Drosophila melanogaster: one gene and its partners. The protein of the gene in region 1 interacts with the protein of each later gene in a biochemical or structural test. Each region holds a gene or a part of one and is shown in the gene's direction. Other genes may lie near its edges.

Region 1 (8,064 bases):
GTTGACTTAGGAACTGTTTGATCATGCGCGGTATCCGGATAAAAACAAGATTAAGAGAGCGGAAAGACGGCGATGTCAAGGCTGCGTCACAGATCGGAAATAGACATCAGCTACGATTTTGGCGGGCAGAAATATGCTGTTTGCCGTTTCAGTTACCACAATTACTCCAGCAGGCTGATCAAATATTGATCGACTTGAGGACCCCCACCATGTGAGCCCACTACGTCACTGCTGACGGCCACAAAGGGGGGGGGGGGGTGTGGTGTGGTGTGATGTCTTTGCGATAAGAATTTCGGCTACAATGCCGCGAATTTGTTGCCTCAGCCGGGAACTTTCCTTTGCCATCGATAACAAGATAACAAATAAAATGATTTAATTTATACTTATGAATCGAAAACTCCCACGGCGTCGCATTGCAGTAACTGGCTTGTCAGTTACTCTCAAACTGTGTCCACAGCTTTTCCGCGGTGGCGCGTAGAAAAGCTCACGCCACCTTGCAGTGGCTCTAAAAACTTTTAAAAACTAAATCTCTTTAGTTAGATTAGATCTCTCATATTACAAGCCAATTTTATGTATATCCCTGATCTTGATGTTTATATTTTTTAAATTCAGTGGCTTGACATCCCAGAAGTTTGGAGTACTAATCTCACGTCTACACATTTTTAGTTCTTGAACAGAATATATTTAACAAAATATAAATATTCAATGATTTTGAAAGAAAATGGTACGGTCTATAGTTTTGTTTCGGATTTTATTAATCTACAGTTTTGGGTATGCTTATTTTAGATCCTGTTGGTTCGCAGGTAATCTTCATCGTCATCTCCATCGGCATCCTCCACCACGCTGTACGAATTCTTGCCGGCACCATCCTTGGCCAGATGCGTTTCGAAGAACTCCTCGACAGTGTCTGTGTTCCACTTGGTTATGGACAACGTCTCCTGCACTTTGCCACTGGCATCTAGGAGCTTAACCACGGGATCCAGTCCTCTTACGTATTTGATCTGCAGGTTGGGGAACTTGGCAGGTCGGCCGCTTTGAATAAAGGCCTGAATCTGCGGATAGGCCCGGAATTTGCAGGTGCACACCTCCAGAATTGCCTTGGCATATGTCCGCTGTGCCGCCGGCTGCTGATCCAAAGTGCAGCATTGCTTACACTGAGGCCTGAAATGTTAAAAATGTTTTGGATGAATAAAAAAGAGCAATGGGCTCAAGCAGAAACTATAAAAAGTTAATATAATTTTTGTTATTAAAAACTGAAGGAAGAATCATATTTAGTCAGTGGTATGGAGGAGCTTACTAAGTCAAGCTAAGCATTTTTGGTTGGAATATTTAAAATGAGGTATGAAATTTAACCTGATCTAATTAGATTAACATATTAATTAAACAATTTTCAGGTCTTCTTATGGAATGATTATAGCATAGTTCATGGGTATCTTTACAACTCCAAAGCTAGATTAATTAAATGTTATTGAACCCACTTGATGGTATCCAATCCGAAATCATCCAGTTTTTCGCAACTGGAACACATTAACTGGGCCTTAATAAAACCCAACGCCCGGCAGTCGGCGGCCGTCAATTCGGCTTGAATTTGCTGGCACTGTAGGGTATAAAATATATATTAAAAACATGTCTTAGCTTCAGACATAACTTACACTTAAAGCCAGTAGAAGAAATATAGCACATTTATGCATTTTTGTGGCTAAATTCTAATTAAATTTACTACGTCCACGTCGTTGTTTACAAAATTTTCTTAGCTTAGTGATGAGTAGAAGGGAAAATAACATTATTTAGGCTTATCGATTATATTCGGGTTGCTTGTCTTTTCATCGTTTAGGGTATTCCGTATACTGTTTATGAATTAGACAATTAATCAAACTTTTGAACAGCTTTAATAAACTTATTATTATTATTTCTTGATATTTTTTCAGCAATTTGAAACTTTTGTCACTATAAAAGTGTACAAAATAATTTCAGGTTTTTATATTCAAGTACGCAAGTTTATTTTCCGATGTTAATAACTAATTTCATGTGATTCGATAGCTTATCACGCTTACATCCCTACAATCGATACGGACTGCCCAGCAGCTGGCCACCACTAGCTCAGAAATCGAAGATTATTCGTGGTGGTGCATTTGTTTTTTTCGCTTCGCTCGCGAAGTGAGCCCAGTTTTAAATTATTTAAATTGCGTATAGTGAAGCCACTTGAAAGCGAAACGCCTACTGTCGCAGTTCTGCCAAAAAACCAACAGTATTAGCTGTGTGCGTGTTTGGCAACAACAAGTCAACAAAATTCGAACAAAATCAATAAAACGGAAACGTGAGAGAGCGCTGCGCAAAAGAGAAAAGCGAACGCAATCGCAATCGACCAACGCATAGAAGAAAACAAGGTGAATAAATAGAACATGGCATAGAAAAGGCGAACTAGAATCAAATCGAATTAAAATCGGGTACAGAAATAGACGTGAAAAGAAAGGGCGAAGAAAGGGAAACAAATAACCGTTACAGGAGCACTCCTGGAGATTTAAGGCTCTCTCTCCCCCTCCTCAGCACTTTAGCCCCAGTTGTGCGTTTGTGTGTGTACATGTGTTTATGTTTTGTTTAGCACATTAATAATCTTAATTCTGCTAGATTTCGCCACTCAGGTGCTAAACGCTAAAAAAAAAAGTGCACACTCCGATAAGTCTACCCCTGTGTCGGTGTACTTGTTTATTTAATTCATATTTACTCAAGTAAATTAATTCATTTGCCCTTGTACAATAACAACAAGCGCCGTTTGCTTGGAAACTCGTTCTCGCAGTCGACCGCCTCCCCTCTTCGCTCCTAATCTTATTCTTTCTCTATTCCACTGCAATACCACTGCAGCTGTCGGTGCCTGTGTGTTTTTCATTCAATCCAGGAAATTGCCCCTTGAGAGACCTTCCATTCAGACAGCTCCATCTGCATCTTCTTCAGCTTCTTCCGCTTGCATCTTCATCCTCTCTCTTGTGCTCCCGGTCCCGTTTAACTGGTTTACTTTATGCTTTATTCCACTGATGCCTCCTCTATCGCCCTCTCCCTTGCGCACACCTGCTGCTTGGCAGCTGTCCACGCGCTCAAATTTCTTATCACCGAACAAACTCCGGCTGAAACCCAAAACCTGGCCCAAACTGCGTTGTTACTTTTCCACGGCAATTCCCTAATTTCCAACGCCTTTTGTCACGGCCCTGTTGCTTTCTCCCTCTCGAGAGCTCTAACTCCCTCTCCAATCCTATTTTTACATACACGCATACGCAGTAAAACTTGGCTATGACAAACCACATATTATTCTATAGATACCAAATACTGTTTTTTTAATACTGTATATTGTTAGATACAAAAACACTTTTGGAATTACAAATCCAGATGGAATTATTAAAAAAAAATATGTATATATTTTGCACAAAATTTCTCATCTGTTTCAAAGGTAATTCCATATGTGTTGACATTTAGAAATGTAAAAGCTTTTCTATTTATTTTAAAGATTCAAAAATTATTTTTAGCCGAATGCATACGCATTAAAAGCAAATCGATTTATTCGGTTTAAACATCTATTGTTTTTCAATGGAAAAACCAGTGTATTTTCCAGAGAACCTTACCTAAGTTTTTATATGTATATATTACATTGAAAATAATTATATGCCAGCTTTGAAGCATGTTAACGATAAGTGTACTTGAGCCCGATTGTTAGTGAATTCTTAAAAAATAAGAATGAGCAAAGTCGCTTTACATTGGGATTGATTGTGAAATCCTCCAAATCTTTGTGTGTCACTATAGAGTCTTATTTAAAATGATATTACCAAATGTATTGGCAAAACGCAGATAAGTTCAACTGTACAATGTGCAATCTCTCGGTTTCGTGCAATTTTGCAATTTTTCAAATGCCCGCACATCTGACTCATCCACAGGTAACTGTAATTACTGCCTAGCATCCACTTGCTTTCCGCACCTGTGGATGGTATTTGTCACCTTATCAATACGGTTTCTCTGTGTTGACTGTGATTTTAGATATTCCTGCGCACGAAAAAAATTGGACACCTCTAAATTTAATTATACAAATAGTACTGTTTATGTTTTCCTATATTTATTGAAGTATTTTAAAGTGTGTATACAAAAGTAATTATTGAGTGCATATGAAACCAAAGTCTTTTGTATTCTGATACAAAAATCATATCATATATGATATCAAAATTTATTTCTGTGTACTCTGCTGTTTGTGAGGTCAATTTTTGATAAGCCACCAGGTGCTCATTTAGCTCGTTGGCGCCTATTAGCTCATTATTCAAGCTTACGTCCGGCTCACCCACATACCCACAGATATAAAAAAAAACTATACAAAAAACCCATATATGCACTCGCAGAAATTAGGGCCAACTTAAGCCCACTCACGCAGTTTCTTTATTGGCTTGAACTATTTTTGTTTTGCTCGTTTGGCTCCGTTTATATTTCAATTGACCGAAAGGTCATCTTAATTGCATTTGTGTTTTGCGACTGTCGCACTGTCCTACTCGCACTCGCACTCGCACTCTTCTCCTGCCATTTCAGCTGTCAACTTTCACTCGTGAGCTTTGTTGTTGTTATTTTTAGACGTAGGTGCGTGCCACACATGTGATGGGAGGAAAGGGGAAATTTTATGGGGCTTAGGGCTCCGTTGAGCTTTACAAAGCAATTGGACACGGTTTAGTCCAAGGACTCGCGACTGTGGATTGAGATTCCGACTAGTGACGAGAGTCCTAGAAAATAAAAGCTAAATGCTATCTTATATATAATTGACTGTTTGAAATAAAGTACAAATATTAGATTTAATGTGCTAACATCCAAACAGGTGACGAAAGCAAAACTTTTTAAAACGAAGTGTATATTTATTATAATTGCAACTGTTTCGCTCTTCTTTCCTTCACTTCCAAGTAGAAGAATATAACTTTAGTTTTGATTAATAATGTAATATTGCATGTTTGAATAAAAAAATAGTTCAATTTCACTGACATATTTCCTAATATAAATTTAGACAGTTAAGTTGGCATGACTAGCGTTTATTGAAAGCACTTAGAAAGTTTTAATTTACGTTAAGTGGAATTCCGAAAATTAGTGTTTCTGAAAACGACACTGTTATTGTGGATCACAACTAAGGCGAGCACTAATTTGTTTATGTTTTTTACGCCCACTCAAATGGTCGCCACTCAAATGTTGCTTACAAATGATGTATTTGTTTCAGCAGAATTACTCAACATCGTTGTTTCTGTTGATCATTCGAATTATTTTGTTTATATACGCAACGGGATCAGTTACATTCTAATGAAGCTCATTCTTTCTCCGGAAAAGATCTTGTTTATAACAAGGCGTTTCGAAATCCTAAGGTTAAATCAATTTTTTATACGTTTAAATACATCTTGTATTAAACAGTTTTTATATATTGAAGTGCCTGAAGTGTTCGCTATGTTAAGTGAGAGTGTAAACAGAAAAACCAATTGATAATGAATGCAGGCTGTGCAAATGCCACAGCCGCTTGGGTTCCGCTCGCGATTCCGGCCAGGTAAATAAACGATGTCATTTTTTTGTTAAAAATTTATGAAATTCGATTTTCTGTTTCTCGTTCTCACTTAGGTCGAGGAGCATAGGTTGTAATTGTGAGAAGGAGGCGGCTGGCGGTGCTAGGCAGGCAATTAACCCACACAGACCCGAACACGAGCTTACATTTTTGATTTGTTTTTAATTGCACTTCGTTTTTGTTTTGCAGCCGCCTGCCAGCCAAAGCCAAGAATTCCACATTACAAAACACCTTAAACTGCATTGCCACATTCCCAAGTAAGCTGCCATGAGTTAAGATCAAGATGCGAGCCCAGGATCTGCTGCTGCTTGCCACCGCTTTAATCGGCGCTTACCTACCGCTCACCGCCGCCTGTTCCTCGCGTGCCATCGCTAAGCCGCGGCCAACAGCTGCACCGATCCTGCCGCCGGATAATGTGGAAATATCCACAACGCCGAGACCGAATGTCACCTTCCCGATCTTCGCCTGTCCACCGACCTATGTCGCCTGGTATTGCCTGAACGATGGCACCTGCTTTACGGTGAAGATCCACAATGAAATCCTATACAACTGCGAATGTGCGCTGGGATTTATGGGTCCGAGGTGCGAGTACAAGGAGATTGATGGCTCGTACCTGCCAACCAGGAACCGTGTGATGCTAGAGAAGGCCAGCATTGTTAGCGGAGCAACGCTGGCCCTTCTGTTTATGGCCATGTGCTGTGTGGTTTTGTATCTGCGACACGAGAAGCTGCAAAAACAAAAGCTGCACGACAGCACCACAACCACAACGACCGACGGTGGCTGTCAGAACGAGGGCATGGACGAGGTGGATGGCTTGCGACCCTTACGTCCAGTGAGACGTCCCTTTGGACCCTGCCGCATCCTATCGCTGGAGGAGGCCCACCTTCAAGCGAAAGCCTCCAATCGCCCCAGGCATTGCAACGAACTTTTGCGCTAACTAATTAGCCTGGCTGCTCATTTGTTTTTAAATGTCTAACATGTCCAACTGTTTATTTTAACTGCTAAACGAAACTATTATTTTTGCCATCTGATTGAGATGGCGAATGCCGTAGTTCTAAGTGCCTACTGACGTGCCTATAACACATTTAGATCAAGTATTAACGAACGAAAACTGATTGCTCAGAGAGAGATAAAAATAAATCTAGATATAATTCAATGCAATTTTGGCAGCTAGCCGCCCATTTATTTATTATACACCTAATTTTATTAAAAAAAAAAACGCGTGAACTAATATCGTCAATAAAAGCGAGAACTAAATCACCAGCTTTACTTTCAATTTAGATAATGCAAATTTCGAATACCTTTAGAATTTGATTGGGAATAGTTTGCACAAAATTCACCATGGCCTTGATTTTCCTTTTATTTCAGAGATGCATGTAAATACTAAACAGTTGATCTGTTAAGCTACACGAAAATAAGGATATCTTAAATTTAGTATGTAAGAAAGAAAAGAATTTCTTAAGAATCTTCTTTTCTGAGACGTCACCTTAGGCTGTCAAAAAAATTCATATGCTTTGTAACCCCTTAAGCACTGAATTAATTTTCCCGTTTTCCGTTTGTAATTTCCAGTCATGCCGCACAACAACCAGCCGTCTCCCGGGGATGATCAGTTGGGACCGCCAAAGGCGGACTTCAGTGCTCCGCCACCGTACGAGGCGAACGTTGGCCATGGCCAGCAGGTAGCACTGCCGGCTCAGATGCCACCGCTGGCCTTGGCCACACCCGATCCCAGTCAGATCCCGATACAGATGCAAGTGCAGCTGCCGAGCCAGGCGGACCTTATGAATGCACAACTGCCGCCAGAAATACACGGGAAGTTGCCCACGTACGAGGAGGTTCAAATGGAAAAGTCGCTGAACGGAGAGCTGCCGCCCGCCTTTTTGACTTTACCCTCCTCGCAGCAGCTACCGCCGCCGCCGAATCCGCTACTGCCGCCAAATCCGCTGCGCGATGGAGCCGCTGCTGTGCGATCTGCCCAGCCGGCACTCACGTTCATCGCCATCGATGCCAGCGATCCGGAAAATAGTCTGTCCACCACCGACAACTTGCTCGGCACGGACATCATGTTCATCACGGCCTTCATTGTGGCCTTTTTGTTTAACTGGATCGGCTTCCTGATGCTCACCTGTTTCTGTCACACAATCGCCGCCCGATATGGAGCATTGTCGGGATTCGGATTGTCGCTGGCTAAATGGACGCTGATCGTGAAGCACTCGACGGACTTGGCCTCGCACGAAAACTCCTGGCTCTGGTGGCTGATCTGTGCCTTTGGCTTCCTGATCAGCATACGCGCTTTAATACAGTATGTCAGCATCAAGCGATCGTGGCGCCTCCTTTCCGCCTCTGCCCAGGAACGGCTGCTATTCTTTTACTAGGTGCACCTGGAGGCTTTCCAGTGGTCGTCTTGTAAATACGTTGTGGGTGGCTAGGAGGCTCGAATGCTACCAACCAACCGATCCCAACACCCTCTATTCCCCAGACCCAGCACACGAAAAATCAAC
Region 2 (8,462 bases), about 16 Mb from region 1:
TTGCATCTGCCTTCTCAGAAGCTGCTTGAAAGACGCGCCCCTGTCGGATGATTAGTGCTAAGATCCTTGGGCAGGATGGAAAAATGGGAAAACATGCGGTGGGAAAAACACACATCGCGAAACATTTGGCGCAACTTGCGGAAGACAAGTGCGGCTGCAACAAAAAGTCGCGAAACGAAACTCTGGGAAGCGGAAAAAGGACACCTTGCTGTGCGGCGGGAAGCGCAAGTGGCGGGCGGAATTTCCTGATTCGCGATGCCATGAGGCACTCGCATATGTTGAGCACATGTTTTGGGGGAAATTCCCGGGCGACGGGCCAGGAATCAACGTCCTGTCCTGCGTGGGAAAAGCCCACGTCCTACCCACGCCCACTCGGTTACCTGAATTCGAGCTCGAGTGTTTTGGGTGGCTGAGATTGCTTTGGTACGGTGGCTGACCTTGCCAGTGCCAGTGGGTCCATGTCCGTGGAGTGCTGGCAATGCGTGTCTGGCACAATGAAAACGCAGCAATGGAGGATGGAGGAACTCGACCTGAGGGAACGTGGGAAAAAAGGATTTACGATGAAGATGAGCTGAGAAACTCCGAGCTGATGACGTGCCTGGTCATGGGCATGTAGTGCAGCAACTGTGTTTTCGTATCTGCTTACCTGTTGCACGCACATGTTAAAAAGTCATCATAAATCTCAGTGGACGAGGACGAGGACTCTGAATCTGTTTCGCCTCTCTTTTGCGCCCAGTGAAAATATTTTCACTTTTCATGCGGGAGTTTTCATGCCGCCGATGAGGATGACTGGCCAGGATGGGTATATCTATCTATTAGATCTGTGTAAATTCCCAGCTTATCATGCAAAACACGTAACCACGTCGTCTCGATCCTTTCGGCCAGGAAGCCGAAAGCTACTCCTTTTGTGCAACATGCCGTGGTGACCTTTCCCGCGAACTCGTGACTGCAACGGCTCAGGCTGCCTAATAATTTGTATAAATATTTATTTTTGCTACCGATTTCTATCTGCTCGCTCAACGCCTCCGAGGGAGCTCTCGCTGGAAAAGGTGTGAAATTCGAAACCCCTGACAATGATGATCTTCTACGGGGAATCGGGGAATCAAGGGGAATCAGGACGGGGCTCGGTTTCGAATTCGATTCCATGACATGTTCTGCATTGCTGAGCCGATATACTTTATTTGCATTTTTGGCCACTTGCAGTGGCACGTTCCCTTAAAAACAACAGAATTATAGAAGCAATGTTTTAGCTATTGAACGGTTACGTATCAATAGAGGAATTTTAAAACTATTTCTAAGCAAGCAAATAGTTTTGCTAGTTTTTTTAGTTTAGAAACTAATTTACATTACCATTGTGAGCAATTGTGACATTGAAGTTATTTCTGGAAACTATTCGAAAGTGCGGAGCTAAAGAAAAAGCGACTGCTACTACCGATTTCATCATCTTTAATTGTGTTAACAATTTGTTTGACTTTCTTGTCTTTGTTTAAAGGCATCGACGGGAAACTCAGCAAAACAATGGACTTGGTACCTTTACAAATACAACTAAAATGAGCTTAAACCTCTTCTAGTACGTTAATATATATTACTAGTAATAATATAAAATGAGATAAAAGTCGGTTTTGCTGAAAGGCAATTAAACGCAAAGGCCTTGCTAGAATTTCGCAACATTGCAGAGATTAGAGCTCAGATCTGCGTAGTAGGCCATGACAAAGCGCAGATCGCTGGAGATCGGCGAGAAGACAGAAGACAGAAGACGACGCATTTGTTAGTCAGTGGCATTGGCAAGAAGTGCTGGCCCGTCTGGATGAGTCATTCACCGTTATGTGGCAAGGCGGCAGATGGGGGAAACCAGTGAATAACCAGCGACGAAAAACCTTCGAACCGCTCGCCTCGAGCTGCAGCAGTCGAGTGACTGCAGTGCGCACACCCCACCCACCCACACAAGACAAGATCCGGATGTGCCATGCAACACTTATACGGCCGAACCAAAACACAACATGTTCGAAGTGGCTCTCTTATACTGCACCGCACAGCGAGCACTTATAAAGGCCGGCTGCCTTGCCTTTCGAAAGTCAGTTGCGTGCGAGCCGCGAGCGCGAGATCATCAAACTGAGAAAGTCGGACTGCGACTCGAAACTGAAATTGAAACTGAAAGAAAGAAATATTCAAATTGTCGTGTGTGTGGGTGCAAGCAGAGAATATATATCTCAAGAATATCTGAATACAAGCTCCTGGATTTACGAGCAGCAAAACTAAGTTACCAATGTGCGAGCCGAAAAAAGCGAGTGAAAAACGTGCGAATATGCCAGCTAACTAAAGACATTTGGATTACAAGAAACCCACGCATTTTGGATTATAAACATTGCGACAGGCAGAAAAACCTAAGGTAAGCCCCCGACCCTAATGAGAAAATGCGCGAGAGCTAAAAGATACAAGATACAAAATATGAGTTGCGAGATACAAGCTACAAGCCACAAGGGATATGCAAGAAATGTGCAAATTGCAATAGAAATTGTCACAGCGGCAAAACAAAAGCATTTCAACTTAGAGGCGTAATGAGTTTGTTCAACCTGTGTGCCCGCTCGCTCTATCTCTCTCGCTCGCACCCTTTGCCCGTTTTTTTTTTTAGGGGTGCGAGTGCAGCAGAAAGCATAAAAAATGCAAATTACACCGCGGGCCATGTGAAACTATGTTTCTGACCAAACAGACAAAAAAAAAAAATGAGAAGAAAGAAATGATGAAAAGAAGGCCGAATGAATTAATTCATTATGTCTTAAAGCCCGCTTTCGACATCTCTTCTTCATGCTCGCATGGACATTCGGTGCAGTCTGCAATTAAAGTTAATAAATAAATTAATTAATAAGCGGCCGACTGCGATTTCGTGCCTTATTGAAATTGCTAGGCAACCGAAATGAAGAACATGAAAAGAGCGCCAGCCAAGGCACGGCACCCACTCACTTTTTCGAGCAGTGTAGGTAGCAGACACAAAAGCAACAACGGTGCGTGTGTGCAATGCGACTTGAGGCGAAAGAGAGAGAGGGGGCATATGCGAACACAATGAGTGTGAGTGGGAGAAACGCGTTTTTTTAAGTTTATTTTTTTTTTTTTTGTTGAGCAAGGCAATGAATTTGTTATTTTTTTTCCTTGTTGCGACGAACAGTTGTTTGGGGAATTTAAGAAGATTTGTGCTGTGACTGTAATTGAATCGAATGCGATTAACATAATTTGTGAGGAAATGTCTCTGGGCAATGAATTACAATAATGCCTGGCCATTAGCTGATTAGTTGGCCATTAGCGAAGATGATTTCAGGGCTGAAAGTGCAGTTTATGTAACGGCGTAGATGCTACACAAGCTACATCTTCAATTTTGTCCAGCTAATTTCGGGCCACAAAAGCAAACTTGGCCCATCAAATTTTATGGTTAGCTCACACAAGCTGACCCAGTTTTCCCTTCGGGGAAAAGCAGCCAGGAAGTTGCAGGCATCGGAATCCGTGTCCCAGGCCATAAACAAAATTCTTACCCACAAAGAAGCAGGCTTTTCCTTCGCTTTTCTTTTATTTCTGCTGCATTTCCCCACACACTCTGGTTTTTCTGAAGTGTTGTAATTGCTCTTGTTTTGTGCTGCGTTTTATGAATAACTTATGCACTTAATTGATTTTTGTTTATTGTTCGGTTCAAGTTAATTAATTACACACTTTATGCGCTCCTCTCTTTCTCCAGAATTTCTTCAACGGCGCCAGCATGGAGAACTTAACGCAGAATGTAAACGAAACCAAGGTGGATTTGGGCCAGGAGAAGGAGAAGGAGGCGTCGCAGGAGGAGGAGCATGCCACCGCCGCCAAGGAGACCATCATTGACATTCCCGCCGCGTGCTCCAGTTCCTCCAACTCCTCGTCGTACGACACCGATTGCAGCACGGCGAGCAGCACCTGCTGCACCCGCCAAGGCGAGCACATCTACATGCAACGCGAGGCCATCCCGGCCACGCCACTTCCGGAGTCGGAGGATATCGGCCTGCTGAAGTACGTCCACCGCCAGCACTGGCCCTGGTTCATCCTAGTGATCTCCATCATTGAGGTAAGCACACACACAGCGAACTCAGTAACTCAACCCATTAAATCAAAGAAGCCGCAAACTTTCATCCCAAGAGCGATAAAAATGATATAGGGGGCGGAAAGCGGCGACGAAGGGCGGAAGTTTTCCGAGAGTTTTCCTCGCTTTTCGTGTTTCGTTTTCTGCGTCTGACTCGCTGGCGCCCCCGAAAATCGATTGTAAACAAGTTGAACAACAAAACAGCCGAAGGAAAAAAAGCGAACAGAAAAGTTTATGAAACCAGACCGTTCGTAGTTTTTTCTTTTTTTTATTTTTTAAGGGCAGACCAAAAATTGTCATGTGAAAAACAGTGGAAGATGAGAAGATGGAAATGATAGTTAGTTTGATAGCGAAATTGGTAACTTGGAACATTGAGTTTAAAATAAACAATACACTTTTACATGACCCCTTACATTCGTATTGGAAATAATTTGCTTCGTATAGAAACTAGCACGAATATCAAATAAACAGGGCGGCCCACGGGGCGTATGAGTTTAGTGAGTTTGAAGCCCTGCCAAGTTGGCAGGACTCGCCCCTAAGCATTCTCATAAGACTTTATTTGGAACGTGGTCGCGTGCCAGACAGCAACAACATAAATCAGAGCGAGAGCCCAGAACTAACCCCCAATTCTTTGCGTCTCTGTCCATTTTAGATTGCCATCTTCGCCTACGACCGCTACACAATGCCCGCCCAGAATTTCGGGCTACCCGTTCCGATTCCGTCGGATTCGGTGCTGGTCTATCGGCCGGACCGGCGTCTGCAGGTGTGGCGCTTCTTTAGCTACATGTTCCTGCACGCCAACTGGTTCCACCTGGGCTTCAATATCGTCATCCAGCTGTTTTTTGGCATTCCCCTGGAGGTGATGCACGGCACGGCCAGGATCGGCGTGATCTACATGGCGGGCGTTTTTGCCGGATCCCTGGGCACCAGTGTCGTCGACTCGGAGGTCTTCCTGGTGGGCGCCAGCGGTGGCGTCTATGCCCTGTTGGCCGCACATCTGGCCAACATTACACTGAACTATGCGCACATGAAGAGCGCATCCACGCAACTCGGATCCGTTGTCATCTTTGGTGAGTTTCCCCACACCTTATGACTAGAATCTATAGAACCTAATCTATCCTACCTAAACACGAATTTGTCACATCTTTTTCTTCTATGTTTAACTTAACTAACTTGAATCCCTTCTGTTCTTCCATTTGCAGTCTCCTGCGATCTGGGCTATGCTCTCTACACCCAATACTTCGATGGAAGCGCCTTCGCCAAGGGTCCCCAGGTGTCGTACATTGCCCACCTGACGGGAGCCCTGGCAGGACTAACGATCGGCTTTCTGGTGCTAAAGAACTTCGGTCACCGAGAGTACGAGCAGCTCATCTGGTGGCTAGCGTTGGGCGTCTACTGTGCCTTCACCGTCTTCGCCATCGTTTTCAACCTGATCAACACGGTGACCGCTCAGCTGATGGAGGAGCAGGGTGAGGTGATTACCCAGCATCTGTTGCACGACCTGGGAGTGTCCTAAGTTTGAGGTTCGGAGTCGTCAGCATGCTCGCAGGGATTCGGAATCTGCTTGAGCTTCAGGAGAGATCGAGAGACAGAGAGTTGGTGGAAAAGAAAAGTTCACTCAACGATTTAGTTCAAAACTAATTCGATATTCGTTTGGCTTTTGCTTTTCGTTAGCATTATCTCGTTATCGTTACCGTTTGCAGTTAAACGTTTCAGTTCCGAAACATAGTACACAAACTCAAAAAAAAAAAAAACAAATCAAGAGAAATACACTGGACAAAAAGAAAGTGCGAGGAGTGAGGAGAACATAAACCGAAGCCGAAACGTGTAAACAAATGTTGTGATAGAACCAAAGACTGAATTTATTTCGCGTGTAAAAACCAAGTAAAAATCAAGAGGAAAATCAAAGAGGAGAAACAGAACTAATCGCCTCTCGCTATGATTTAAATGATTTATCCATGTTTTCAATTAATGGTTTGTCTGTTTTCTTAAATTATGTATTTATTGGCCGCAATTACTACGAATGAATCGAATCGAAGCATCAGCAAACTGTATCAAATTGTTTATACATCCATAAGCATAATGTGCTCCGAATTGTAGGATTTAGTGTTATAATTTATATATATTTAGGTATAACTAGCCCTCCTAACAAATTGTTTCAAATTGTAAATACTATTAAGTCGCACACTAGTCAAACAACAACAACAGCAACAGCAAAAACAACAAAAAAAATATGGAAAACCACAGCAAAGAACCATTCAATTCAGATCAATTAAGCAAATCGAGTTAAATTAAATTAAATTATACTAAAGTCACTTAATGCGTTACAAAATCGAGCATCGTAATCCCCTACACACACACACACACACACACACTCGAAAGTATTACTAATTATATTTATTTATGGTAGGGCAGCGAGGGTTTATTAATTCGTCAATTGAGCGAACTATTTATTTATTTATTTATTTAATAATTTAGTGAAATTCACACAAACAAGCACGAAAAAACAACAACAACACAAGAGAGAGAAGAAACAAACCAATTCAACTGTAAAAATATCCAATTGAAAAATACACACGAAAAGCCAAAGAAAATAAAAAATCAAAACATTTCAAGAATACAACAGTAATAACAAAATACAAGCAAAAGCGTTTTCATTTCCCATTTTGTATTTTTATTTTACTTTCAGTTTTTGGCTGTCGGCTCGCTTGGTTTTAATTCCCACAATTTAAGGGCAATAAATAATCGAGCCAGCAGATTATCAAGATACTTGACATATTGACCGATACACATATATATATACATATATATATATATATATCGTACGCAAATAGAGAAATATTCAAAGTAATCGCCGAATGAAAACAGCTAATCTGGCATAAAGGCCAGCAAAGCGTAAGCCAAAATAGAATCCTTTTGGGCCACAAAACCCCAAGATAGCATACTCGATTTTCCAAAATAATGGATCCACACTCCACCCGATGAAAAAAAAAAAACAAAACAAAAAAATAAAATAAAACAAACTAGGAAACGGAAATGTTCAGCACGAGACAAGGGACAGAAGAAATGCAAATAGCAAAAAATTATAGATAAATAAATAAGGAGAGAAAAATTGAACAAAAATAAATGTCTAAATTATATATGAATTTCTCGTTTTCTTCACAAATAACTCAGGGCGAGTTGAGCTTGTGTATGTATGTATCCTCTGCTGGATGAGTTTTTTGGGGGGCAGCCCAATCAATATTTGCTCCACATAAATATGGCAATTCAAAGCGAAAGGTTGCAACTACAACTAAGACTCGAAGAAAATCCTTAATTAATACCCACTCCGCAGAAGACTTGTGTCAACGAATTTTCCCACTCGAATGTTGCCACTGCCACCAATCGATAGTTGCCCCAATATGAAATATGAAGGCGCAGCATACGCATTTTGTAATAATTCATATTGTCTGTGATTCCACATCTCATGCGAGTATTATATTCAATCCAACTGGATTAGCAGGACTAAGTCCATGAATTTCCAAATCGGCATTCAACTCGAAGGACTTGAAGCGAACCAAAAACATTTGCCAGCTGTTTGCGTTTAGTCGACTAATGCATACCTATTAGCAATAAGCACTTAATAGAAAACTAAAGCAGAAACATGCTGATCGAGTACAACTAATCGAAATTGTTGAGGATATTCTCAATTAGTCCTGTACTTCCCACCTAATTTAAGAAATACAAACCTACTCTTTTACTAAAAAAGTACAGGGTATAATCCCCCAATATTTCACTTATTAATGATGCATAATCAAGGAAGCGTTGGCAAATCAAAGATGCTTGATTACATCGGAAAATGAATAAAACACTTGGATGAAACAGTAAAATGTACGTAAGTAATACAATTCACATAGACTAAGAACATCTTTTTTGTGTTCCGCTAACTGCAATTAGTAATTGTGCATAATCAGAGCTGAATGATTGCACCTGTCAATTAATTTCCGCTTAAATTATACAATTACGGGCGATGGGCGATACAAGAGATACAGCAACACAATAAAGCAGATGTGCCTCCAAAATGGGGCACAAGCTTAGTGCCTTCGGATTTTGGGGGACGAAGTAGACACTCACCGCCACTTGCAACTCCCAAATCCCAACGCCCGTGCAAGAAGACAGACAAGCCAACCTCATCCAATCCAATCCATTCCAATCCAATCCAATCCAATCCCATCCGAAACGCACCCGGAGAGTCTAGGCAGTTTGAGGAGCAAGATTTATGGTAGACAGGAGCTGCCGCCTCGTGGACATCAAATTGAAATTCAGGCACAATGTCAACAGCAATCGAGGACGAGGTCAGACAGGCTCAGACGACGGCGGCAACTGC
Region 3 (8,783 bases), on another chromosome or scaffold:
ATTTATTTTTTAAATAGGCTTACCTAGGATATATTATATAATATATTAAATTAACAAAACAAGTTGGCATTTTAAATTAAAGCACAAATTGATTGTTATAAAAGTATTAAACAAAAAAAACTAGTCAAAAAAGAAAAACTTTCAAATAAATGACTTATTAAAAGTGACCAAATAAATAATATTCATTAACTTTTTTTTTCAAATTTAACTCCCTTTCAGCGTTGCCAGATTGGGTTGCATGCGGGATTTGATTATTTTTATTCACAAATTCTGGGTAGAGGGCCACTTGTGCTGCTCCGGCAGCTGGTCACACTGTACAGTCGCGCAGTTTGGTTTCTTTGGTGCGAGAAGACGGTTGGTGTTGTTATTTTTTTTTTAGTTCGCTCCGCTGTTTTTAGGTGCTACGCGCTTTATGGCCCGCTCTTAATCTTATCGCAAATCAAATCAAACCGCGGCCAATGAGCACCGTAATTTCACTTTTTGGCTAACGGTAACGGCACTTCCGCTCTCCGAATTCGATATTCAAACAGTCGCATTCCATCGAAAAGCGAAACAAGAAGTGGCCGTAAAAATGACCGTGAAAACAGTGAATCGCCAGCAGAGCCAAACGCCCACCCAGCAACGGCAATTGCATCAGCAGCGGGACGTCGAGAATGGGCTCTATCCCACGATTTCGGACGGAATATGCCACATTATTATCGGATAGAATACAGGAAATGTAGGATTTAGGTAAGGGAATAATAAATTTCTAGTAGTTTTCAAGTCATTTTGGAGAGCACATAGTGGTTAATTCATGCACCATATTAATGCATGGGAAATTGGCGAAAAACAAACACTCAGCCGGCACTTCGCGGCACTCACACCTACACAATCATACGTGCGTGTGAATGAAGTTGCTTGTGCTTGTGGTGGTCTGCCCTGTTGCCGTCTTCTTCTCACCCTCGGTGAAAGTTGAGTTCAATGAATCATCTGAGCATCGATCCGCTATGGCGGCGATCTTCACTCTTCGCACTCACTCAACAGGGGGATTCTATCTACGAATCCATCAGTTTCGGCCGCTTCGATTCTAGTTTAGTTAGCACTCTCTTCTGGTTGATTTGGGCAGATTCATATATATATATGTATATAGGTATGTATGATCATACGATTAGCATACGAGATAAGCTGCCAATCCAATCCAAACACAAGGCGCTGGAAATCGGCATTCCATACACATTCCTACTCTCTTTTGGCTGGAAATCTTATCCGATTTCCCTCGCTTCAAACATCAAAATACTCTGTTTGGGTTTCCCGAGCGTTGATTCATTAATCTAGCCATGATATAACAACCAAAATAATATCAAGCTATAGAATATATTTTTTAAAGAAAAAAAATCAGTCTGCGGGCATCCAGTTCTCAGCGAGAACTTAGCGGCATCCAGCTAATGGAGGAGACAGTAGTGGCTTCGCCACAGCAGCCATGCCTTCGTCGTTCCGTACGTCTAGCGGGTAGGATGCGTTCGCAGAACTATAGAGCCATTCCCAAGGTTATGAATTTGCGGCGCAGCACGCGGCTGGCGGGAATCCGGGAACATGCCACCTCCGTTGTTGTGGAAAACGGGACGCGCCTTCAAAGTGCAGTCCAAAAGAAACGCACGCGAAAAGTGAAACCTGCGCCCAAGGCCTGGATGGCCAATAATACTAAATGTTTACTGGGCCATCTTAACAATGGAAACGTTAAGCAATTGCAGGAGATTCCAGGGATCGGTTCAAAGACCGCCTCTATTTTGGCCGTGCACAGGTCAGTTGACATACGTTCATTTGCGTTTTACCCAATAACCCTTAATCCTTAATCCACATTTTTCAGATCCCGCCTGGGTTGCTTCAAGAATCTAATTGAAGTCAAATCCCTGCCCATTTGGTCGGGAAATAAATGGAAACGATTTTCTCAAATTAACTGTCTTGACACTTGATACAATTACTAATTAAATAGCATTTTAATTCGAATATAGTATAGTGATTGTTATTTATGTGGCATATACTTTGATTTTACAACTATAGTAGGAGTAAAAAAAAAGGAGCCGGATATCCTTAAAGAAACAGTTATATATGTGATTTATTTTTTAAATAGGCTTACCTAGGATATATTATATAATATATTAAATTAACAAAACAAGTTGGCATTTTAAATTAAAGCACAAATTGATTGTTATAAAAGTATTAAACAAAAAAAACTAGTCAAAAAAGAAAAACTTTCAAATAAATGACTTATTAAAAGTGACCAAATAAATAATATTCATTAACTTTTTTTTTCAAATTTAACTCCCTTTCAGCGTTGCCAGATTGGGTTGCATGCGGGATTTGATTATTTTTATGCACAAATTCTGGGTAGAGAGCCACTTGTGCTGCTCCGGCAGCTGGTCACACTGTACAGTCGCGCAGTTTGGTTTCTTTGGTGCGAGAAGACGGTTGGTGTTGTTATTTTTTTTTTTAGTTCGCTCCGCTGTTTTTAGGTGCTACGCGCTTTATGGCCCGCTCTTAATCTTATCGCAAATCAAATCAAACCGCGGCCAATGAGCACCGTAATTTCACTTTTTGGCTAACGGTAACGGCACTTCCGCTCTCCGAATTCGATATTCAAACAGTCGCATTCCATCGAAAAGCGAAACAAGAAGTGGCCGCAAAAATGCCCGTGAAAACAGTGAATCGCCAGCAGAGCCAAACGCCCGCCCAACAACTGCAATTGCAGCAGCAGCGGGACGTCGAGAATGGGCTCTATCCCACGATTCCGGCCGAGCGACGATCGCCCCCCTCGCGTCCGCAAACGCTGCGACAGGACACCATCGATATGGAGGAAATACCGCTCAATCAGACGAACAGCCAGGAGCCAGAGGATCGGCGCAAAATGCACGAGATATTTGACAAGGTATGTAGGACTTATAATACTCGCAATTCCCTTCCCCAGCACAAGTGGCAGCTCCTCCTAAGTATTAGATCTTTTCTGGTTTGTAGAGCCAGCTAACCAAGTAGTAGCCATGGTAACTATACCTATAAAGGTATTACTGTTCACACGGTGTTACAACTTAGCACTATATCTTTAAAGTAAATCTATGATGATTTAACGTTGATTTAATAGTTATGCCACATTATTATCGGATAGAATACAGGAAATGTAGGATTTAGGTAAGGGAATAATAAATTTCTATTAGTTTTCAAGTCATTTTGGAGAGCACATAGTGGTTAATTCATTAGTTAGAACCAGCTACGACTAATTATCCCATTTAAACTGGCTGGTGGTAGGCAACAGAAGGTTAATGCTGAGATCTTGTGAAATTGCACCATATTAATGCATGGGAAATTCGCGAAAAACAGAAGAACGACTGTAATTAAAACACACAGCCGGCACTTCGCGGCACTCACACACACACACTCATACGTGCGTGTGAATGAAGTTGCTTGTGCTTGTGTGGTCGGCCCTGTTGCCGTCTTCTTCTCACCCTCGGTGAAAGTTGAGTTCGATGAATCATCTGAGCATCGATCCGCTATGGCGGCGCTCTTCACTCTTCGCACTCTCCCAAGAAAACCCCACCTTTAACCCTTCAATGGGCCGGCGGGCGAAAACCGACACGATCAGATGCTTTTGTTTGCAAACATGCCAGTGGAACAAACTTAAGGTATACATTATTAAAAAAAAACCTTGTATCTTGTGGTGATTAATAAATACGTGAGATTTGATTCCCGTTTAACATTAATGGGTTAAGAATTCGATTATAGTGCCTAAATAATCAACTGCTATATGTACTTATATCATACAAGCATAATTACACTTTTCGGTGTATTTAACCCATCACCGCTTGTCTGTCAGTCAATTTTGCACTTTCGCAGAATTCCGTATCACATTTTATAAGCTTTTTTTCGCTGCAGTTTGTTTTCTTAAAGTAGAAAAATCGTGTGTGCTGCAAAAAAAAATGGGGGGGAGGGTGGTTGCCTACTGTTGGGGGACTGAGTTTTCTTATCGTGACAGAGGGTTGGGGGAAAAAGACCAGCAAAAAAAGAAGAAGAAAAACCGGTTATAAATTATTGTTTGTTCGCTTTGAGTTCTGCCTTTGTTGTTGTTGTTGCTCTTGCTTTATTCTTGGTGGCGTTAGTCACTTAACCCCCAACTGACACCCACCGCCCACCTGTTTGCCCGAGTGTTACCATTATCAATTTAACAATTTGTGGATTTCGTCTTTTTTAATTCTACCAGTGCGATTGCCTCAACGTGCAACGTCCTCTTGATTCACCATTTGTTTATAGCCATATAGAGTGTGTAGCGTTCATATCGCGTTCAATGTACCCCGGCAACAAGGGGATTCTATCTACGAATCCATCAGTTTTGGCCGCTTCGATTCCAGTTTAGTTAGCACTCTCTCCTGGTTGATTTGGACAGATACGTATATATGTATGTATATAGGTATTCTAACCATACGATTAGCATACAAGATGAGCTGCCAATCCAATCCAAACACATTCGATGCCGCTGGAAATCGGCATTCCAGACACATTCCTATTCTCTTTTGGCTGGAAATCTTATCTGAATTCCCTCGCTACAAACATTCAAGTGGCCAAAATACTCTGCTTGGGTTTTCCGAGCGTTGATTCAATAATCTAGCCATGATATAACAACCAAAATAATAGCAAGCTATAGAACATATTTTGTCAAAAAAAAAAAAATCACCAATCTCAACCAACATTATTCGTTGGAAAGTTCAACTTGAACCCGGAGGGGACTGTATCATTTTGATATTTTTGAAATATCATGTTTGATATGTCACAGATAACAGTCTTTCTGATATGGGAAAATAGCAGATAGATGACCATTTTCGTTGATATTTTTATTCATTGAGCTGTGCAAAAGAGTAAATCTTAAGTTGTCTGTTGGCTAATATAGGAAAGTTTTGGAACTTCAGGTGTTCCAATGGTTTTACAATTAACTTTTTCCGAAAACCATATTTTTTACAAACTGACCAAGTGGCTTTCGTGTGTTCCGAACACACTTGACGACTATGACTAAGTCCCAATCCCCGCGAGACTCCGTTACCGCTGGCAGCTTATCGCCTGGTTTTGATAATAACCAACTTTTTGGTTTTGTTTTTTCCCCCTGTTCTGTTTTATTTTAAGAACACCTAAAGGTGTAAAATATTAGTTTACGACTGGAAAGGAGGATACATATTTATGTGCATGTACATACATGGGCACCTATCTAATTGTCTATAGTATATGCCAATGTCTTTCCTCTTTTTTTTTGCGTGAATCTAACTTTTAAGTGCGAGCGTTGACTTTTCGCTGGGTTTTCTTTGTTATCCCAGTTCCTAGTTATTTACTTTACTAAATACCTTAACCATACTTAAAAGGTCAGTGCGCATAGCTTACCTATGACAAATGTTTTTTATGATCGAAAACCGAGAATACAAAGCGATAAGACAGTAACATCCATATAGGGACTTTCTATTGGCGAAATGGCAATTGAGAATTTCGAACTTCTGAAAGGAATAGGTGACAAATGTTTTTTTTTTAGCAAAATCCTTTTGTATTTACCAATGGGGATTATTGACGTTTTGCAAAAACCATCAGTTGCGTTTAGTTCACAATAACTTTGGATGCCTTTGTGCAACTTCATGTGACTTTGTTTCGATTTGTTTTCGATTAGCCCCGTTTTGGATTTCTAGTTTCTCGTCTCGATCTGTGGCATTTATTCCTGCCCATTTATGGCCACTTTTTGGTCCGACAGCGTTCGCGGCTGTGTTGCAAGTGCTGATGGTGATGCAATCAAAAAGGAGGAAAATCACTCAACAAACATAATAATATGTGGGTACTTGTTTATTTGTGAACTCATGCTGCAGGTTTGAGTGTGTTACGCTATGATTTAGAATAGTTCCTCGGGTGAATGAGATTCATTCGGAGTCTAAGGGAAGGTCAAAGAAAGTGGAATTTTGGCTCTTGGGGGCGAGGCAACTGGTGGCCTGCTCCTCCTCTGGCGCATCCACAGCATCGTGCCAATCCTGGGAATCGTGCTCCTCCTGCTCCTTCTGATCCGTTAGCTGGAGCAGACGCATCCGCAAGCGCTGCTCTTCCAGTTGAATGACTGAAGGCCTAGGAGCAGCCACTTCGCGAATAAGCGATGGCATGGCGGTCGTCCAGTTTGGCAGCAGAGTTAACCCCGTTGCCCTGCCCTGCCGCTCCAGACGCTGCAACTGGCGGCGCTCCATGGCCATCAGTTCCCGCTTGGCCCGGGCCCGCACCTGGTCGTCGCTGGTCGTGGTGCAGAGACTCAGGGCCGCAAAGATGCCGGCCATGCCCAGGTAGAGAACCAGTACGGTCACAATGCCGGACGATTCCTGCAGCGGCTCCTCCTCCTCCGCGACGTCGCATGTGGGCGTCGGTGTCCAGCCAAGCCAAGAGGTCACGTGGCGGGTCATCTCCATCAGTTGCGACATCGTTCTCGGTTGAATCTTGAGGCGAAGATACAAATATATATAATATATGTATGGTTTATACTAAATAATTATGTCATTAACCGATGACACCAAGCAAATGGTAGTTTCTTTACTTCCTTCTAGGGAAATGTATTCAGTAGTTTATTTTTATTACAGCCTAGTTTTAAAAGGTAGGATGAATGCGCTGATATGTACCCAATTGTAATCGGTGTTTCCAAGATGTTGTATTTCAAGATTTTTTGGATTCGGTGCGGGCCTGCCCGACCACTCGGAATTTCAGCTAGGTACTGAGTGTTCGAATCCCTAATGTTTTCGAACCCCCATGACGCTTTAGTATATGGCCTACTGTGTTTAAATGTTGACTTACCCAGATTCTATGTGTGAGCTTAATCATGATGACTAACCAACCATATGTATATGCCTCTCACACAGCACGACTCTGACAGAGATGGGCTGATCAACACGCACGAGCTGAAGGAACTGATCTCGGATGGCTATTGCCGGGACATTCCCGCCTACATCGCCGACCAGATCCTGAAGCGCAGCGATCAGGATAACGACGGCCACCTGGACTTCGAGGAATTCTATGCGATGTCCCTGCGCCACAAGTGGATGGTGCGCAACATGCTGACCCGCTACTGTCGCTACGTTGTGCCGCCACCGAAGCCCTTAGAGGGCGATGAGCCCGACGGTGCCTACGAGAAGCAAATGTCCATCTGCCCGCCGCCGCTCACCATGGTGCTCTTCTCGATTATCGAGATAATCATGTTCCTCGTGGACGTCATACATTTCCAGTGAGTAGTGATGGTACAATTGGTTGTATATGATAATAACACTAGTAATCTGCTATGTTCAGGGACGATCCCAACTACCAGGATCGCATAGGCGAGAGCACAAGTGGACCAGCGGCCACCCTGTTCATCTACAATCCGTACAAGCGCTATGAGGGATGGCGCTTTGTTAGCTACATGTTCGTTCACGTGGGCATCATGCATCTGATGATGAACCTGATTATCCAGATCTTTCTGGGCATCGCCCTGGAGCTGGTGCATCACTGGTGGCGCGTGGGTCTGGTCTACCTGGCTGGCGTGTTAGCCGGTTCCATGGGCACCTCGCTAACCAGTCCTCGCATCTTTCTAGCGGGCGCATCGGGTGGAGTATACGCACTGATCACAGCCCACATTGCCACGATAATTATGGTAAGTCTTTGTTATACTATTTGATATTATTCCATAATTACCTTATGGTCGCCAAACAGAACTACTCGGAAATGGAGTACGCCATTGTCCAGCTGCTGGCCTTTCTGGTCTTCTGCTTCACCGACTTGGGTACCTCGGTGTACCGCCACTTGACCGACCAGCACGATCAGATTGGCTATGTGGCGCATTTGTCCGGTGCCGTCGCCGGTTTGCTGGTGGGGATCGGTGTGCTGCGCAATTTGGAGGTGCGGCGATGGGAGCGCATTCTCTGGTGGGTCGCCGTCATCGTTTACTTTGCCCTCATGACCACTGGCATCATCATACACGTGTTTGTTCCCGACTACTTCCCAAAACAGGAGTACAACTAGCCCCATCACTAGCTCTAGCCCTAGCCCTAACCCTTAACCATGTCCAAAGTGCACTTCGATATTGAGCCGAGGTTGCAGTACGCACAGTACTATATATAGGATTTCTTCTGACCATGTGCCTATGCCAGCTGCAAAAATAATTTATTTTTTTACAACTTGCCATGTCAGCTTCATTCCCAATCCGAAAGTGGTGCAAGCATGTCGTACGTATTTTTATATATTTATATACATACATACATATATAGTAACGTAATTATGCCTTCCTCATAATTCTCTTATACAAAAGACCGACCGCGGTGGTCCGCCGTATCGATTCCTTGTTACTCGATATTGCGCATCCACTTAAGCCGTAACCAAAACCCAGACACTAGGCAGGCACATACATAGCCACGTAGCACATAAGAATTCTTTTTCATATGTATGCACAAAAGCATAAGCAAGAAGCGCTCTCGCGCAGATCAAGTAAACAACCCACTAACCAAGTACATTTAAGATTTTCTCACACCATTTGTTTCAGTCTTAAGCTGATATTCAATCAATAAAAACGCAAAGCGAATTCATTCGAAGTTTTTATTCATTTCGGTTCAAATACGGATCATTTATTCGACTCAAAAGCAAAAATTATTTTACTATATGTATTCTCGATCCACATGACGCGACGCGGCGCAACGAAATGTCGACGGAGAACAAAACTCAGAGCTGCATTTGTATTACACATTTCGTTGACATTTTTTTTTTTTCAAGAAAAACGAGAAATA
Region 4 (5,901 bases), about 16 Mb from region 1:
ATCTCTTTCCTTGGCACGAGCAGCAAACAAAATAAACAACAACGCGCACGAGAAGAAGTTGAAGGCGAAGCGACAGTGGCATTCGCAGGATATTTTGAGGGGGGTTGCAATCAATATCCTTTAAACACATTAGGCATATTTTTAATAAATTAAGTATTCCCCTCTTCAACCCCCCTCCATTTCAATGATTTCAGGTGTTTGCTTTTGCCCCAAAACCCCCGAAATTTCATCGCCTACGTCACTGCATGTCACTGTTATTTTTGATGTTTTTGTTGTTCGAACATCTGTTCGATTCGCCCCGTCCCTTTCGCTCCCCCTCCATCCCTCCACCCAACCGTAATCACATTTTATTGGATTTTATTTTGCGTGCGTTAAATCGCCTAATCGTCTTTGTTTTTTTTTCCTGTACTTTTCGGCTTATCTGTGTTTTGCATAAATCGCTTTTTGCCTTTGCTTTTCGCTGGCTGTTTGAATTTGTTTGATTTTTGTTGTAGCCTCTTTTGTTATTTTTGTGATTTTTTATTTTTGCTTTGCGCAATATTTTCACCTTGTTTTTTGTGTGTATTATTTTTGGCTTTTATGATTTTTTCTTTGTTTTCGTTTCATTTTCTTCATTTTTTTTTGTGCAATTAAACACGTTGAAGAAAATATAAAAAAATAAATGGGCAAGAGTGAAAATGAGCGAGGAAAAAAATATACAAAACACGAAAAAAATGACAGCTTAAAAAATTGTCTTTTTAGCCCATGCAATTTTTATGGGCAAATGTTTATCCTGTGTTTTCTATTTTACGACTGCGCGTAATGGAATTGAATTGAAAGTGTTTTCTTTGGTCGCGCTGGAAAAACATTTGCGGCACAAGATATTAATTATAAGCTTTTTAGTCGTTGCTAGTATTTAGTGCTAACTTTTAAACCAAAGCATTTGGTGCCTTTTTAATTTATTATCGAGCTACCTTCTTCATATTAACTATCTAGTAATGTGGAAGAAACTTTAATCTTAGTTTTAGTTATTTTATAGTAACTAGCTTGCATTTAATTCAAATTGCAAACAGCACCCCTATATTATATTAACAGTTATCCTCTTGGCACCCTTAATTTCATAAAAAAAGGGGGTCCATAGACCCTATTCAACTGCCACCTTATTCATCTTGAAGTCAATTCAAATCCAATCTGCGCGATTCGAGGTGGTATTCGCAGGGCGAGCGAGCGAGATAGCTGCTGTGTGGGAGTGAGAGGGGGCTAGGGCGGTACAAAGGGTCGGGCAGCGCCCTCATCAGCTGTCAGCGGCAGCAGAATGAGGCCCATTTGATGAAGATGTTTCTGCAATTGTTAAGTGTATCTGGGCCCTTTCGATGTTTGCTGTTTGCTATTTGCTATTTGAGCTGGGAAATGGAAGGAGGCCACAACACATCAAAATTATACTCGATATGTTAACAAGTTCAGATACAAAAGAGATGACTGGTCCCAAGAGATGCCAGAGATAGCCCACATAAATAAGTATCTCGTGGCTGGTGGTAGCTCGTATCTCGTGTCTTGTATCTTGTATCTCGTGTCTTGTATCTGATGGATGCACCTATTGACACCCAATAAACAAGGCGAAAACAGCAGCTGCGACCGAAGTGCTTTGATTTATTTATCAGGGGCAAGAAATCAACGTTGGGTGTTTTTTTTATCAAATCTATCTAATTATACATAAACTTTTACTTTTTTACAGTACCAAGATCAGTTTGCAAACGAAAAAACATTGGCCAGATATAATTTGAGGCATAAGCCTCGCTTTTTTTGTTTCCCCCAATTGTTTCACATTTGGTAATGCAATAATTGAGTTAATTAGCCAAAAAGGGAAAACACTGTTTCACAAATGGATTAAGGGGACAAAGATGCTAACTTAATAAGTGACTTGTTAATTATCCGTCGGCGGCTGCATCTGCAACTGTCTCCCTCTCGCTCTCCGTCTCTCCACTTTCTCTGTCGCACCTGCAGCTGCCGGTAAAAGCCAGCTGGCTCCTGGCTATCCCTCTCCCTTTCACTCGTTCGCCCCATCTCACTTCCTCACGTGACTCCTTTGCGTGTACCGTTCACCGGATGGTGGCCAAAAAAAGCAAAAAGCCACGACAAAGGAAAACTTGGCAACGCGTTCGAACCTCGAACATGTTTGCTGCACCTGGCTTTATTGTTCAAAAGGGTGGCTTAAAAGGGGGAGGCGGTTTGCAGGGGGGGGGGGGGGTTTCTTACCTTGGCCAGCAAGAGCCGGCTTTTCGAAAGGGGTGCAAAATGGAAAAAAAGCACACACACACAAACACACGCACAACTAACACAGCGGACTGTGCACATGTAAACCCTCCGGTAAGGAGGCTCTACCCCTTTCGGTTTTTGGCCAGGCCGGCACTTTGCGAATCTATAAAAGTATCGGGCCGCATAAAAAACGAGCTCAGTTGTGAACGGTACTTTGTAACGGCAACCGGCGGCAGCACGCGCAACTAACGGTTCACTGGAAAAGTAGAGAAAAACCACCGAGGAAAAACTTAGTGGAAAAGCACCGAACATTCGTACCGTTCGTAGCATTTACTGCTCGGATCGACTGCCGCAGTAACTTGTCGCTCATCCTCGAAAGAAATAAAAAATAGAAGCTGCAACCAGTTCACATAATCCTGCCCCCCCCGGATGGCCTGCACAAGAGTCAACCATTTCATCACCCCCCTCGGTAAGTCATAACACCCCCCGCCTAGGATTCCCACTCTCAATCCCCCATCTATTCCATATCTCACCCACGGAGATCCCGGCAAAACCCCCCAAAAAAATAAATCCATCGGCTTAAAACTTGGCAAAACTCAGCTCCAAACTCAACCATGCTGAGCTGAACGTATTTGACTAGAGCGAGCACTGCAAAAAATAAAGGTGTACTTCATGGTGCGAAAAATTATCGCACTGAATATATAATATTCTCTTTTACTGCCGTTAATATCCATCCTCTATTTATAACAGAAACCAATCTTATTAGTTAGCCATCGCAGTTTTTGTTTTCAGTGCATGTAAATCTGCATCTGTCAGTGCGGCAGCAGCTTCAGCATCAGTATCTCTGTCTGCTTTGTATCTTTTGGGTTGTAAAAACATCTGTGCTTGTCGTTCGGCATCCGTATTTGCTGCCGTTTGCAACGGGCCAACTGCAATGCTACCAACCACTCCCACCCACCCAGCCAGCCACCAGTCGCACATTGCGTATACGCAACGTGGAGCGCGGATTTAACTAAAAACCGTTTGCGCCCGAGCTGTCAGCAAATGGCAAGCACTTTCCGTTGAAATCTCCCCCGGGTCACCCGGTTTTTATATATATATGTATGTGTGGGCTGCCCTGCTCCATTTTCGATATCTTTTGTGGGATCTCGGACAAGTGCTACTTCTGGCCAACTTCTGGCCAGAACTTCTTGGCCAGCTAGCTACTGGTTGGTTGGCTATTCGATTTCCATTGTCTCTTTTCGAATGGAAACCCATGTGCGTGTAGGCAGGAGTGGCCAACGATCGATGGAGAGGGTCTGTCTGTGCGTGTGGGCGGTCCTCGGAGCTCCCAGTTTGGCCATCCATCTTGCCACCAAACCCACCAAGTTCGTGTGTCTCCAGGGCGAGAAGACGCCACATTTGGCTCACTTTTGTTTACACTTTGATTTATTTACGCAGCCTCGAAAAGTATTTCATTCAATCGCAACGATGCGAATTTTATTCACTTTCCGAAATTTTTCTATTCTCGTGAAACTTTTGCTAAACATAAAAGTGCCAAAGTCTCGAAATCGAAATGGAAATCAAAACCAAGATCCGTTTCAGATGCACAAATCATGGACAAAATGACAGGGGAGTTGGGGCTGCCTTGGGCTTTTGTCACTGGTGAAGTTTTTGTCGAGTGCATGAAAATACGAAAAAATTAATGCGTTGGCTATTCTTGAAAAAATCATACGCAATGCATTTTAATTTTTCGTGTCTCTTGTTCGTTTTTTGTTTGTAAATATATAGTTTTTAAATGTGTCAAGTTTGCTTTTATACGCGTCAGAGTGAGAGAGGCAACGCCGAAAATAAAAACAATATAGCGAAACAAACAAAAAAAAAAAATGAAAAAAAGTCGAAAAAAGACCCAAAGACCTGATTTCAGGGTGGCTTAGTTTTGTTTACCCATTTTCGGGCCACTTTTCTTTTACTAACGTGTGCAGAAGTGAAAAAGTTTTAAAGATATATGGTAAAAAAAAGTTTCCCAAGTCATATTTGTATCAAAGGAAAGCTGTGAATTAAAATTACTATCCAAGTTGTAAGACTTTAATTACCATTTGCTTCCGTTTGCTGAACTAAATTTGGCCAAAACTTCTGACTGCTATTAAATTCAGCAACTGATTTGTGTCGTTCTCCCCCATTTTCCAGCGCAGAAGTCAACAGTTTATAGTGTTTAATCATTCTTAAGCTGTCTCCACCTCCGCACCACCCCTTCACCCCTTCACCCCTTCACCGCTCTTCCCTTTTGGATCACCTTTGACCTTCATTAGTGTCAGACCCTCTCGCATTCGCATTAATCTAGGCAGACATTTCAAGTTGAGCTGTTGCAAGACAATGGCTCAAGCAGTTTTGTAGTTTGTCTTGTCGGCCAAGGTGCACACGCACACACTCCAGATACAGATACAGATACATTGATGGTATCTTTGAGATACTCACTCGCACAAACGCATACAAAATAGAGCTCATAAATCAGTGCAGAAGCGAAATAGTGTGTAAAAAATTGTTGTGCAACTAGGCTTTTCTGAACCAAAAATGTTAACAAATATTTTCAACTTTTAAGCTAATCAATTTAACTTTCAAATAACAAGTATATATGCTGCTAGTTAGTGCTTCAGAAATTGAATAAATTCCGTAAGAAATTGCCGGATTATGCAACCATTCGAAGTTGCACCCCCGCCAGCCCCCACTGCCCACCGACCAGCCACGCCCCCGCCACGCTGAGGCGCCCCAAAGTCTCAAAGCGACACAAACAAAGAACTCGAGTGGCGTGTGTGTGTGTGTGTGTTGCACAAAACCGACGCGAAACGAAAAGTCCGAAAAAACAACACACAGTCGGCTGAAGGAAAAACCTTCGCGGCGGAAAAACAAAAAATAAGCAGAGCAGCGATGTGAAAAGTTGAATGCCTAACAACTTGAAACACGCTAAAAATGCGAAAAAAGAGATCCACACACAAAAAAAAAACAATAAATAAAGAAAAACAAAAGTCCAAAGATGGAGCACACAATAACTATAACAACAAGAACAATGAGTCGGAAAATGTGGAAATGTCTTGGGAATCTTGCAAAATGGATGAAGCTGCTGACGTTGTTGCTGCAGTTTGCTGAATTAGATAAAAGTTTAGGAAATGTTTATGCTCGAACTAAGGCGCAGATGAATAGCGCAGGAACTCCTTTTACCAAATACCCTCGATGGAGCAGCCAAGGGTGCAAAAGTCTATTGGGATTCACATGCATCTGGTGTGGGTTTCTACACAAACTTGACCAGTCGGATTGCTCGGAAAATGGTGCAAGTGAAGCTACGTAATTATTCAATGGGAAAACTCAAACTTTTGGTCATTAAAATGATATTTGGTTTGTTTATACTGCGACTAGATGTTGTTATTCATATCTTAGTACATATATTGCTTGCAGTATCAATTCCAGGGTACTTCACTTGCAGTGCCAACCATTTTCCCTCAGATTTATTTTTATATTTTTAAACTCAGGTAGGATAAGGCAACCTGGCAAATGGCAGGCGGAAATGCACCGAAAATAAATGTGGGTAAAAATGCCAAGGAGAAGTGGAAAACGGTGTTTGCTTCGCCCGGACGGGAACTTTAGTTGCCATTGCAACTGCAGTTAGTGGAATGTTGTCTACACGTAAAT

The links.
Region 2: of the proteins of Krn (region 1) and rho, one has a biochemical effect on the other in vitro, tested with the Drosophila melanogaster proteins (2 studies listed by BioGRID).
Region 3: of the proteins of Krn (region 1) and rho-4, one has a biochemical effect on the other in vitro, tested with the Drosophila melanogaster proteins (one study listed by BioGRID).
Region 4: of the proteins of Krn (region 1) and ru, one has a biochemical effect on the other in vitro, tested with the Drosophila melanogaster proteins (one study listed by BioGRID).

What each region holds. Positions count from the first base shown.
Region 1 is NT_037436.4:17,648,315-17,656,378, reverse strand, and holds Krn (keren), read left to right. Parts: upstream 1-2,098; 5' UTR 2,099-2,387; intron 2,388-5,752; 5' UTR 5,753-5,846; coding exon 5,847-6,500; 3' UTR 6,501-6,817; downstream 6,818-8,064. Other genes in the region: CG7484 (uncharacterized protein), read right to left, coding at 783-1,161, 1,479-1,597, 1,653-1,691; Ndfip (Nedd4 family interacting protein), read left to right, coding at 7,135-7,938.
Region 2 is NT_037436.4:1,461,742-1,470,203, forward strand, and holds rho (rhomboid), read left to right. Parts: upstream 1-2,069; 5' UTR 2,070-2,389; intron 2,390-3,724; 5' UTR 3,725-3,745; coding exon 3,746-4,081; intron 4,082-4,748; coding exon 4,749-5,166; intron 5,167-5,298; coding exon 5,299-5,612; 3' UTR 5,613-7,203; downstream 7,204-8,462.
Region 3 is NC_004354.4:11,597,422-11,606,204, forward strand, and holds the start of rho-4 (rhomboid-4), read left to right. Parts: upstream 1-2,416; 5' UTR 2,417-2,665; coding exon 2,666-2,905; intron 2,906-5,821; exon of another isoform or gene 5,822-5,915; coding exon of another isoform or gene 5,916-6,458; exon of another isoform or gene 6,459-6,473; intron 6,474-6,653; exon of another isoform or gene 6,654-6,773; intron 6,774-6,890; coding exon 6,891-7,252; intron 7,253-7,314; coding exon 7,315-7,657; intron 7,658-7,716; coding exon 7,717-8,025; 3' UTR 8,026-8,783. Other genes in the region: CG2533 (uncharacterized protein), read right to left, coding at 5,916-6,458.
Region 4 is NT_037436.4:1,368,177-1,374,077, forward strand, and holds the start of ru (roughoid), read left to right. Parts: upstream 1-2,451; 5' UTR 2,452-2,704; intron 2,705-5,901.